3 linked regions of the Saccharomyces cerevisiae S288C genome follow. The protein of the gene in region 3 purifies or fractionates together with the protein of the main gene of each other region. This does not show direct contact. Each region holds a gene or a part of one and is shown on either strand. Other genes may lie near its edges. The genes, in order: CUS1, HSH155 and RDS3.

Evidence for each region.
Region 1: the proteins of RDS3 (region 3) and CUS1 purify together in Saccharomyces cerevisiae (affinity purification with mass spectrometry; 3 studies listed by BioGRID). This does not show direct contact.
Region 2: the proteins of RDS3 (region 3) and HSH155 purify together in Saccharomyces cerevisiae (affinity purification with mass spectrometry; 4 studies listed by BioGRID). This does not show direct contact.

The regions. Positions count from the first base shown.
Region 1 is NC_001145.3:749,368-753,127, forward strand, and holds CUS1 (U2 snRNP complex subunit CUS1), read right to left. Parts: upstream 1,874-3,760; coding exon 563-1,873; downstream 1-562. Other genes in the region: RNT1 (ribonuclease III), read right to left, coding at 1-310; YHM2 (Yhm2p), read left to right, coding at 2,594-3,538. UniProt on the Saccharomyces cerevisiae protein: Essential splicing protein required for U2 snRNP binding to pre-mRNA during spliceosome assembly.
Region 2 is NC_001145.3:843,634-847,393, reverse strand, and holds the start of HSH155 (U2 snRNP complex subunit HSH155), read right to left. Parts: upstream 1,824-3,760; coding exon 1-1,823. Other genes in the region: DSS1 (exoribonuclease II), read left to right, coding at 2,049-3,760. UniProt on the Saccharomyces cerevisiae protein: Contacts pre-mRNA on both sides of the branch site early in spliceosome assembly.
Region 3 is NC_001148.4:718,547-721,460, reverse strand, and holds RDS3 (U2 snRNP complex subunit RDS3), read right to left. Parts: upstream 825-2,914; coding exon 501-824; downstream 1-500. Other genes in the region: Arf family guanine nucleotide exchange factor SYT1, read left to right, coding at 1-424; ubiquitin-protein ligase ASR1, read left to right, coding at 1,037-1,903. UniProt on the Saccharomyces cerevisiae protein: Required for pre-mRNA splicing. Involved in regulation of drug sensitivity and may play a role in multidrug resistance.

The sequences.
Region 1 (3,760 bases), on a different chromosome or scaffold from region 3:
CAGCTGCCAGTTTTAATTGATAACGTGATAGAGAAGGAAGTATCTGAACAGGCACTCTATCTTGATTGTTAACGGCTTCATTGTAAGCTACCAAATTTGGTGAAAGTTCAATTATTTTATTGTAAGACTCCACCAATTTTGTCACAGCATGTTCTAGTTGAATCACCTCAAGATATTTGTAATTTGATATCTTAAGGTTGCCTTTCAAAAGCGTCTTGGTATTGATATTTTCGCGCTGCTGTGAACCATTTTCGTTATCTAGTTTATTATCATTCTGGGTTTTCTTTTTACCTGCTACTTTTGAGCCCATTGTTTTGAAAAGCTTGTAAATAGGACAGTTTTGCTCTCTTCTATATGCGCATTTACTTGCCTCACTTTGATCGAGCAGGATTCTCCTGAGAGTGACTATATGACCTGATAATGAGATAAATTTTGCGATGAGCTCATGAAAAATTTCAGCATGGTTTAGGGCCGCATTTAAAAAAGAAAAAAACTCGTACGTGAGAAATAGTACCACATGTAAAATTTTGTAAAACTGAAGTACCTATGCGATATTTAGTAGTTATTTCAATACAGTATATAGTTGCTTCTCCGATTCCTCTTCGTTTCTCTCAAGTTTTTCTTCTGCGCTTGTCACTTCGGATATGTCTTCCTGGAAGTGATCTAACTTATGCTCTACTTCATCATCGATTTTGTCATCTTGGCGCCCATTTTCCGCATTCGCCTGTGTATCCTCTTTTGAATTTTCAAATTCAGGGGTTTCAAATGAGATCAATGCGCCAAAATAGTTTCTACCCTGTTTCTTGGACCTTGAATGGTGATTAGGGATTATTTTTCCGTAAACGTCGCCTTTTAAATTCGTTATATCCCAATTCAAGCCGGCAATTTTCAGATCAGGATATCCCGTAGGTAATCCAATGTCTTTCATCTTCATACACCATGGTGGTAGTTGACCTTCGGGTAAATTCATTATGGCACGAAGCTCTTGGCTAATTCTCCCCGGTCTCTTATGATCAACCATTCTTTTCCAGTTCGTTTCCTCGAAAAGATTCCTATTTTCATAATAGACGTCACCGAAGCATAACAAATGGTCAGGTTTCCAGTTGGCTCCTATCTTGAAAAACACATCGTGTAACTTCTTGTAATCCAAATCCAAGGCGCCCATTTTCGGCTGCACTCTTGCTCTTGAGGCCTCCTTTAGTGACTTTTCATCTTGACCATCCAGTCCGCTTTGCGGAAGCGTCGATCTCATTTGTTCTATATTTGTCTTCTTGATAATGTCAGGAAGTTCAAAAGGTCTTTTACCTAACAGAGAACGGCCAGATAGATATTCCTTCTTGGACTGCCAGTGGCTTGGAACAGGAATGACATTTTTGGTGCACTTAATTGACGCTAGTAAGCCTGGATATCTTGCGTCACAATCGTACCATTCTATAATTTGAGGATACGGTACCTGGCTTTTTAACTGCGAAAGTGAAGGTTTTTCAGTCTTCCTACGTTTTCTTGCCGATAGATGCTCCTCAATACCATCCGAGGGTGTATCCTCCAATTCATCTTCTGCTGTATGCTTTCTGTTCATAACTGGGTTTTTCTCAACAATAACGACATGATTGTTCTTTTCATCTTTCGTGATTTCCTTCGGCGTATCATTCTCTTGCACTTGAAATCGTTGTAAAACGTCTTTGAACTCTTTTTCTAACTTCGCATCCACTACCTTATTCGTCTTTCCTTTGCTGTTAGTCACCCCACCCTTTTTCTTTTGCTCAAGCCTTCTTGCATCAATCATGGCGGCGATCTCAGCCTTATTATTTACCACAGACGCATTCTTATTTTGGTTATTTCCGGAACGCTTCCTACTTTTGGTTCTAGCCATTTCACCACTATCTTTATGATCTGATGCTCTGCCTATAGATATATACTCTGTATGCTACTGCCTTCTTAATACCTTTCTAAACAATACCAATATACTGTATTGGATTTCTATATGGTTGAAAGTTATTATTCTTGCAATTATAGCCCTGTAATGAAGCTGCGTGATTGGACCTGTGCCCTCTTCTTCCATTACTTACCCTATCACTTTTCTTTCTCAAGACCTAGGTCCTGTCGGCAAATTCCGCTGCAATAACGCGAAGATCATGACTTTTTTCACTCAGAAGGCAGAGAATCACGATTGATAAAGATCACGCAAAAAAAAAAGATGATTGGCTAAATGCATAGGGCGACAAACATGGGCCCTTCTTTTGCACTCATGTTTTAGCTTCCTTTGTCCCATTGTGTAAACTTATGACAAGATATCGCACTCTAAAAAAAAAAAAGAAAAACGCATTAGCCTCTTGCATGGATCTTACCTTCTGTAACATTTATATATCTCGAGAAATCTACGGACATTTAAAAAACGCTGTCAATACAATCTTCTAGATATTCGGATTTGAATTTTGCAAAAAGTCCGAAGCTGCCCACCTCAAGTCATTGTTTCAACTCGCTTACGGTATATATATCTACTTTCATTGAGATATAAACAGCGCTGATACAATCTTTTTATATAAGTCTTTTGTACAAATAAAGCTAGGAAAAGCCCGACGTCATTATAGCTATGCCATCTACCACTAATACTGCTGCAGCAAACGTAATAGAAAAAAAGCCAGTCTCGTTTTCTAATATCCTATTGGGTGCCTGTTTAAACTTGTCAGAGGTGACTACATTAGGGCAACCTTTGGAGGTTGTTAAGACCACAATGGCTGCAAACAGAAACTTCACATTTTTAGAATCTGTTAAGCATGTCTGGTCAAGAGGTGGTATCTTGGGTTACTACCAAGGTTTGATTCCATGGGCATGGATCGAAGCCTCCACTAAAGGTGCTGTGTTGCTGTTCGTGTCAGCTGAGGCTGAGTATCGTTTCAAAAGTTTGGGGTTGAACAACTTTGCCTCAGGTATATTAGGTGGTGTCACGGGTGGTGTCACTCAAGCCTACTTAACCATGGGGTTCTGTACCTGTATGAAAACGGTGGAAATTACAAGACATAAATCTGCCTCCGCAGGTGGTGTCCCACAATCTTCTTGGAGTGTGTTCAAGAATATTTATAAAAAGGAAGGTATTAGAGGTATTAATAAGGGTGTTAATGCTGTTGCTATTAGACAAATGACCAACTGGGGTTCTCGTTTTGGTTTGTCCAGACTAGTGGAAGATGGTATCAGAAAGATCACCGGGAAAACCAATAAAGACGACAAGTTGAATCCGTTCGAGAAAATTGGTGCCAGTGCTTTAGGTGGTGGTTTAAGTGCTTGGAATCAACCAATCGAAGTCATTAGAGTTGAAATGCAATCTAAGAAGGAAGATCCAAACAGACCAAAAAATTTGACTGTTGGTAAGACATTTAAATACATCTATCAATCAAATGGTCTAAAGGGTCTTTACCGTGGTGTCACCCCAAGAATTGGTTTAGGTATCTGGCAAACTGTCTTCATGGTTGGTTTTGGTGATATGGCGAAGGAATTTGTCGCCAGAATGACTGGTGAAACCCCAGTTGCCAAACATTAGCGTGTATTGTACTATAAGTTTTTTTTAAAAAAATTAATTATTTAGCTTAGTCATTTTTTTTTTTTCTGAGGATATTGCTCTTATGCTGGGGTGCTTCCTATTTGTCTCAACTTGTTCTAATTGTACTAAGGTTATCAGCTATTTACTTCATGCAAACCTTAATATCTATAGATTCTTTGAAAGGAAGCCTTACCCATTTACCTCTGGCCGTTCATGAAATGT
Region 2 (3,760 bases), on a different chromosome or scaffold from region 3:
TGATTTAAAATCGTACTCACAATGGGTGCTAAAAACGGTTTCATACGGATGTCAAGTGACACCGTCACTGCCCCAAACCCTTTAAAGATTATAGAATCACTATTTGTTTGTTCTTGAAATGCTATCAAGAGCGCATCAATAAGCCTCGTTTCTAATCTCTCATCTAAATCTGCTGTCCCTAATAAGTTTACTGTTCTAGTAACAGCATGGACAGCCATTGTTCTGAACGGCTCAGCTTCATCTCTCAATGGTGTTAATAATTTATCAATGGTATAAGAACAACCTAATTTCTTTGCTAATGTAACAGTAGTATATGTAACAACTTTGTTTAATGGTCTATCCAATGCCACTCGTCTGACCCAAAATTTTTGAAAGAATTCTGGCGCGATTTCTTCTCTCAGAAATTTTGGCGTTATGGATTCTACAGCGCTACATTTTTGTAATACTAAAAGAATGGTCTTTTTCATTTCATCATCGGGAGAGTCGAATTCACGTCTAATTATTCTCATTGCTTCTGTGGTATAATAACCGGCATACTCTGGGTCCATCAATGGGATCATAGATCCAACAGCTTTTAAAAAAGAAGATAGCACTTTACCACGATGACTTCTTATACCCTTCCATAATGGCTCCAGTACAACGTTGAAAACTTCGATACCATATGGATAAGAATTTTCTGCTAGTGTTGATAAAGTATGTGCTGTAACAATTCGCACCGGAACGTGATCATCCATTAGGCAGTCTTTGATACAACTCATCAGCCCAGTAAGATGATTCAAGACACCTATTCCCAAAAGTATACCTATTTGCTGCACAATTTTTATGCCAGTATGCCTTGCTTTCCAAGACTTCCGTGAGTGGCATGCTGCATTGATGAAAGGAAGCAATTGATTAACACCAAGGGCTTTTGCCACCACAGCCGCCGCTCTTGAAGTTACATTTCTAACATACTCATCCTCATTCTCAATATCAGGTCTCATTACTGTTAGAATGGTTTTTAGGCCAGCGACTGTAGACAGATTGGTGATTATCTCCTGGCCTGTTGAACGAACCATTGGATCTTCATCTATTAGCAATGGGGCAGCTACTACAAGTATTTTGTGAACGTAAGGTTTTGTTAAATCTCCTAGCTGGTAAAGGACGCGATCTATGGTCTTGATCATTAGATGTCTTTCCTGGTCTTCCAAACTTCTGTCTAGTAATATGGGCAATAAGCGGTTAAATATCATTTCTGGACCAAATGTAACAGCTTTATCGGTTAAAATCCGCATAGAAGTCCTCCTACTCGCTGTATTGCCATTTTTTATTTTCAGAAGTAACATCGACAGGGTTCTTTCTTTCTTTTCATCCTTATTTAACTCATCTATGGGTTTTTTGGATATAACGTCGGCGAAATATTTATGGTCAGAAGGTTTAAAAAACATCAAATCATGGATTCCTTCTACATTAACCAAAGCACTATCAGAGTTTTCTTTGACCGCTGTTGAAGATTCATCAGGTGGCTCGTACCCTTTTACATCCCAACGAGATTTTCTTTTCCTTGGCACGACAGCGTCTTGGGTATTTTCTGAAGACGTAACAGTTTGTGTATCGGAATCCGGCTCAAACTTCATATCAAACCTTCTTTTGTGGTATGAATCCTCTCGATTTTGCACTGTCCTAGTTTCCATTTTTTCCTGTAGCACATCTTTTTCGTTCTCACCAATACGTGCAGCTTCTTTCTGCAGGTTTTCCCTCAAATCCTGAGGAATAGAATATTGACCGCCTAATTGGTGGCTCTTATCGCTATTATTAGCGTTTACAAATTGAATCGGATGACTCATGATGACAGGTCCTGGCTTTCTATGTTTATTATGTATAAGTAATTGAAGAGATGTTTCAGTTCTAACTCATCGAGAAGGAGATTTCTGCTCGGGCAAATATCAATGCAAACCCGAATAAGCTTAAATACTAACAACGTGCCAAATAACAGCAATCACGTCTAAAAAGCTTTCAAGAGACGATAATTGGTTGTGCATATCTGTCAGCGGAATAAATAAAGACAGGTGATGGTAGTTAGGCGGAAAGTACATGTTCTTCTAATTGCAAGGAGCTTTCATTCCTACACACCTTGCTTCAGAGTAACTACCAGAGGCAAACGACAGCGAAGTAAGAGTAAGCAGCAAGCAAAAGTAGAACTAGATCACACACGAGAGCTAGATAATGATCAAGCTACAGAGACAGTTGTAGACCGTTCGGTTGGACCGGAGAAAGATATAGAATCAATAAACAAAGACTTTCTGCAACGAACAAAAGGATTAGAGCCTGATATTGAATTAAAACAACTGCCTCAAATTAAACAGGAATTTAACCAACGTTATAAAGATAGGTATGTTAAACCTTCCGAAGATTGGTACGTAAACTCCTGGAGGTCTTTAACAAAACCAAAAATTCCGCTTTACAAGTTAATAAATTCAGATTTTCAATTAATAACAAAACTGAAAGCTCCAAACCCAATGGAATTTCAACCTGTTCAGCTAATGGAAAGTCCCTTAAATGTTGGTGACTTTGTTCTTTTAAAAATGAGACCCAATGAATTGGCGATGTGTGTAAGTCTTCCAAGTAGCACTATGGATCCTCGATACACTTTTGTTACTATTGATGGAACTATGTGCTTTGCGACCAAAAACCGGGTGTTATTGAGGATTCCTCACAAATTACCTGCTGGAATCCATTCACTTATACAGCCTGAGAGCCATCACAAACATTTGCCAATTGGAACCGTTAAGAACTTTTCTAACCAAACGAATATTTTGCCTATTGTAGCAAGGCAGCTAATAACAAGTAGGTATCCAGCCCAAATTTCAAAGTTGGCCTGGAAAGATTTGCCCATTACTACCAAAAAATTACAGTTACTCCACAGATCATTACAAAATTATATGGGTCCATGGCAGATTCCTTTTTTTACCCTAGTCGGATTAGTTCAGAAATTGGATTTAAATAAAGCCTTGGACGATAAAAATGGAATAAATTACTTAACTAGTTTAGTTAATAACTATCACACTGTAAACGATATACCAATAAATTCACCTACCTTTGTTTCCACGTACTGGGCGATTATGCAACAACAGGAATCGAACCTTTGGGGGGAAATCCATCTGAATACAGCGTTGCTGTCGCCTATATCAGTAACGATTATTCCCTTAAAATCACAACATTTATATTATGCGCAGGTGATAGAGAAGCTAGAAGCCAACAGTTATAGAGAGGTCAATAAGTTTGTAAAATTGGTGAATGAAAGGAAATATCGCGATATATCAGCTTTATATCCTTCTGTGATCCAATTATTGAAAGATTTTGCTGCTGGGAATTTTCACAATAACGGAATTATAGTAGCTTTGATCTCAAAAATATTCAGAAAGATAGAACGCTATAAGGATTGTGACATCACAAGAGATATATGTCAAGATTTAATCAATGAGATAACACCCAACTCAATACCCAATCCATTGTTACTTAACATGGATTTAGCATTACCTGCTTCCTCGAAGTTAGTGAAATGGCAACAAAAACTCTACGACTTAACTAATATAGAAGAATTGCAATGGAAAAAATCCGGCACTGATGACGATAGGTACGATTTTGGCGATCTTAGGGTTTTTTGTATAGACTCTGAAACTGCGCATGAGATTGATGACGGCGTGTCGGTGAAAAACTATGGTAGAGATGGACTGTACACTTTATATATTCATATTGCGGATCCAACTTCTATGTTTCCGGA
Region 3 (2,914 bases):
TATTTGTAATAAGAGAAAGCTTACCATTTTGCAGAGGATGGAAAGACTTAGGTCTATAAAATCAGCCAAATGGGAGAAATTGAAAAAATTTGAAAGCACTCTGATGCTTATGGGAAAATGTGTTCCTATTAGCACAAAGACTAAGACAGATATGATAAACCGCATAAGACAGCTGGCTGTCAGAATGGACTGGTTAATCTACGAAATTAAGAGAAGCGAGCTGTTTGTAAGTATCATAAAAGAAGTGACTCGCAAGCAGGCTGAAAAGAATATCTTAGAGCATGGTAAAGGAGAAGAGGAGGGGCAAGGCAATAACGACGATAGTGATGGTATAGATGATATAGAGGAAAGCTTCTTATTCAACGAGAACAGTTTGCAAGTGTGCGTGAGCGACAGTAGTTACGACGAATATAGTAACGAATAAGGGGAAGAAAATAGTACCATGGGTTATAAATGCATGTTATTTATTTATATATTTTTACATATTCTATATGTATGTGTTATACCTTTTTCTTTTTCTCGAAATGTCTATCCAGTCTATTGCTGCCAAGGTTTAAGATCCTAGGACAGCCATCTTTATCTTTACCTAAGCGGCAGCACTCCCAACAATAGAATGCGTCATTGACTCCAACATTTAGATTACAAATTATACAATTTTTAGCTTGTTTACCAAACGAACAGTTTTCACATACTCTAACTTTCCTTTTGGGCCTTACATAAGAGTCGCAGATAGGACATTTGCCATCACATTTTTCACAAAGAAGACCTGTCTGTACACCAGGCTGCTTTAGGCACATTATTAGATCAAACTGATGGCGGGACATGTTTTTTTTGTTGGAGGCTTGTATGTGTGTGGATCTTTTTTGTATCCATCTTCATTTTCTATGTTGAATGCCTTAGTAAGTGAGAAATATGGCAAGTAATGCATATATGGAAGAACAGAAAGTGAGAAAAAAAAATAGAAAAAAAGATGCAAGGAGTTGAGCCAAGGGAGAGACCATACCCTCAGCCAAATATCCAAATATCATATAAAAAGATGGAAGAGTGTCCTATTTGTTTGGCAGATGACCAAGAGGGTGAACAATTTGGATGTTTGAACGTTTGCGGGCATAAATTCCACTTAAACTGTATAAGAGAGTGGCACAAGTATAGTATCAACTTGAAGTGCCCCATCTGCAGGGTTGAATCCACCCATTTAGAAGTTGGCGAAGGGCAACATGCACTTTCTATAAATTTGAAGATGGGGTTTATGATTAAGAATGCTATCGATTATGTGGGGGCCGAAACAACTAACGAAAGAAATGAGGACGATACAGGGGAGCAAGACCAAGAAATAGAATTTCTCAGCGAAAGGCTTAGAGGTACGCTGGTGATGGATACCATTAAGATAATTCAGTGCAGCATATGCGGAGACACAGATGTTTCTCGATTAAGCCTGTATTGCCAAGACTGCGAAGCAATATATCACGAAACATGTCTACGCGGGCTAGCTTGTGAGGTGGGCGATCGCAATACGTGGCAGGAGTGCACAGATTGTAGATCAAATGCATTGCTCGAGCTGCGCATGGGTGCTATCAGTAGCCAACTTGCTAGCTACGATTCCAGGAATTCCATGATTTTTGCTGGTGAGTTACGGGACAAGCACAGCGTCAAGACACAGCAGATGTATGAACAGATACGGAATGCCAAGCACAAAATCCAGATGCACGTGCGACGAGCACTGGACCGGTACCCACTGCCTCTGCTGCGCTTCAAGGATGCCTACAAGCACGTCAACAAGCAAGTATCCCGCAAGTTGTACCGTCTCTCTGACAACAAGTACCTGCCTGACCAGTACGATTACGACTCTTTAGCCCGAACTGGAGTGCACACAGAACTCCTAATTTACTGTCATGATGAGTAGTAATGCAATATAACATTAAAACAAGATATAAACAGTATAATACTCTAGTATGAGCCCTAAAAAAAACCCTCAGAAGCGGGTGACCCATCTCTCGTACGACGTATAAAAGCACAAGTTTGACCCATAGAATTTTTTTTTCACATCTTCCTTTGTTTGCTTCTTCGTCTTCAATAGAAAACAGTTGAACAAACTCAAATATAGCACCATTGTGAGTGCTACTGCACTACAAAGAGGCAGATTAAGCGACCAGTAGGTCCCTTGGAAGAGATAATATATGAGTTCCTTTTTTCTTTTTCCATTTTCTTTCTGTGTGACTCCCCTATGATTAAAAATTATTAATCATATACCAATTGTTCCGACTGAATAGTGGTTTAACTACATGTCGACAACCCTTTTTCGTTAAGTTTCAGCCTTGTATGAGGGGTGCCACGGAAGGGAAGAAAAGAAAGCATTTATCTTTCATTATTATCTTTTTCATGCCTGCAATGGAATTTTTAATTTTCCTTTTGATATGATGATTTGTTGTCGACCGGGCGGACATATTAGTATCTGTTAAAGGGTCGCCGTCTACTCTCATCGTTCTTTTGTGTACAAATTTTTTAAAGGAGCGATGTTGATGGCATTATGGTTCTTTAGTGGAGAATTGATGATTGGTCACAAGACATCTGATTTTTTCGGAAATTTGTTTCTTATTTCAATTTATTCCTTATCAGTTGATTTGGATGATAAAAGAGACTGTTGCGGACTAGTTTATTATGATGATTTTTTTATATTCACACTGTACTAGATTGGTCTCTTTAACGAAGGGGCTAATTGATGACTACAAAATAAAAAATAACTGATTTAATGACTCTGAAAAACTAGTTCTACAACCTAACTAATCTTGCACCCTATGTAGCCCTTTAAATAACTCTTGGTTCTCTTCCCTTTAGATCTTTCATTTTTGCACCTAATTGGTATGGCACATTTTTCAGTTTTCTCCCACTTAAGTTTTCTCCGTAAATCCCTCTT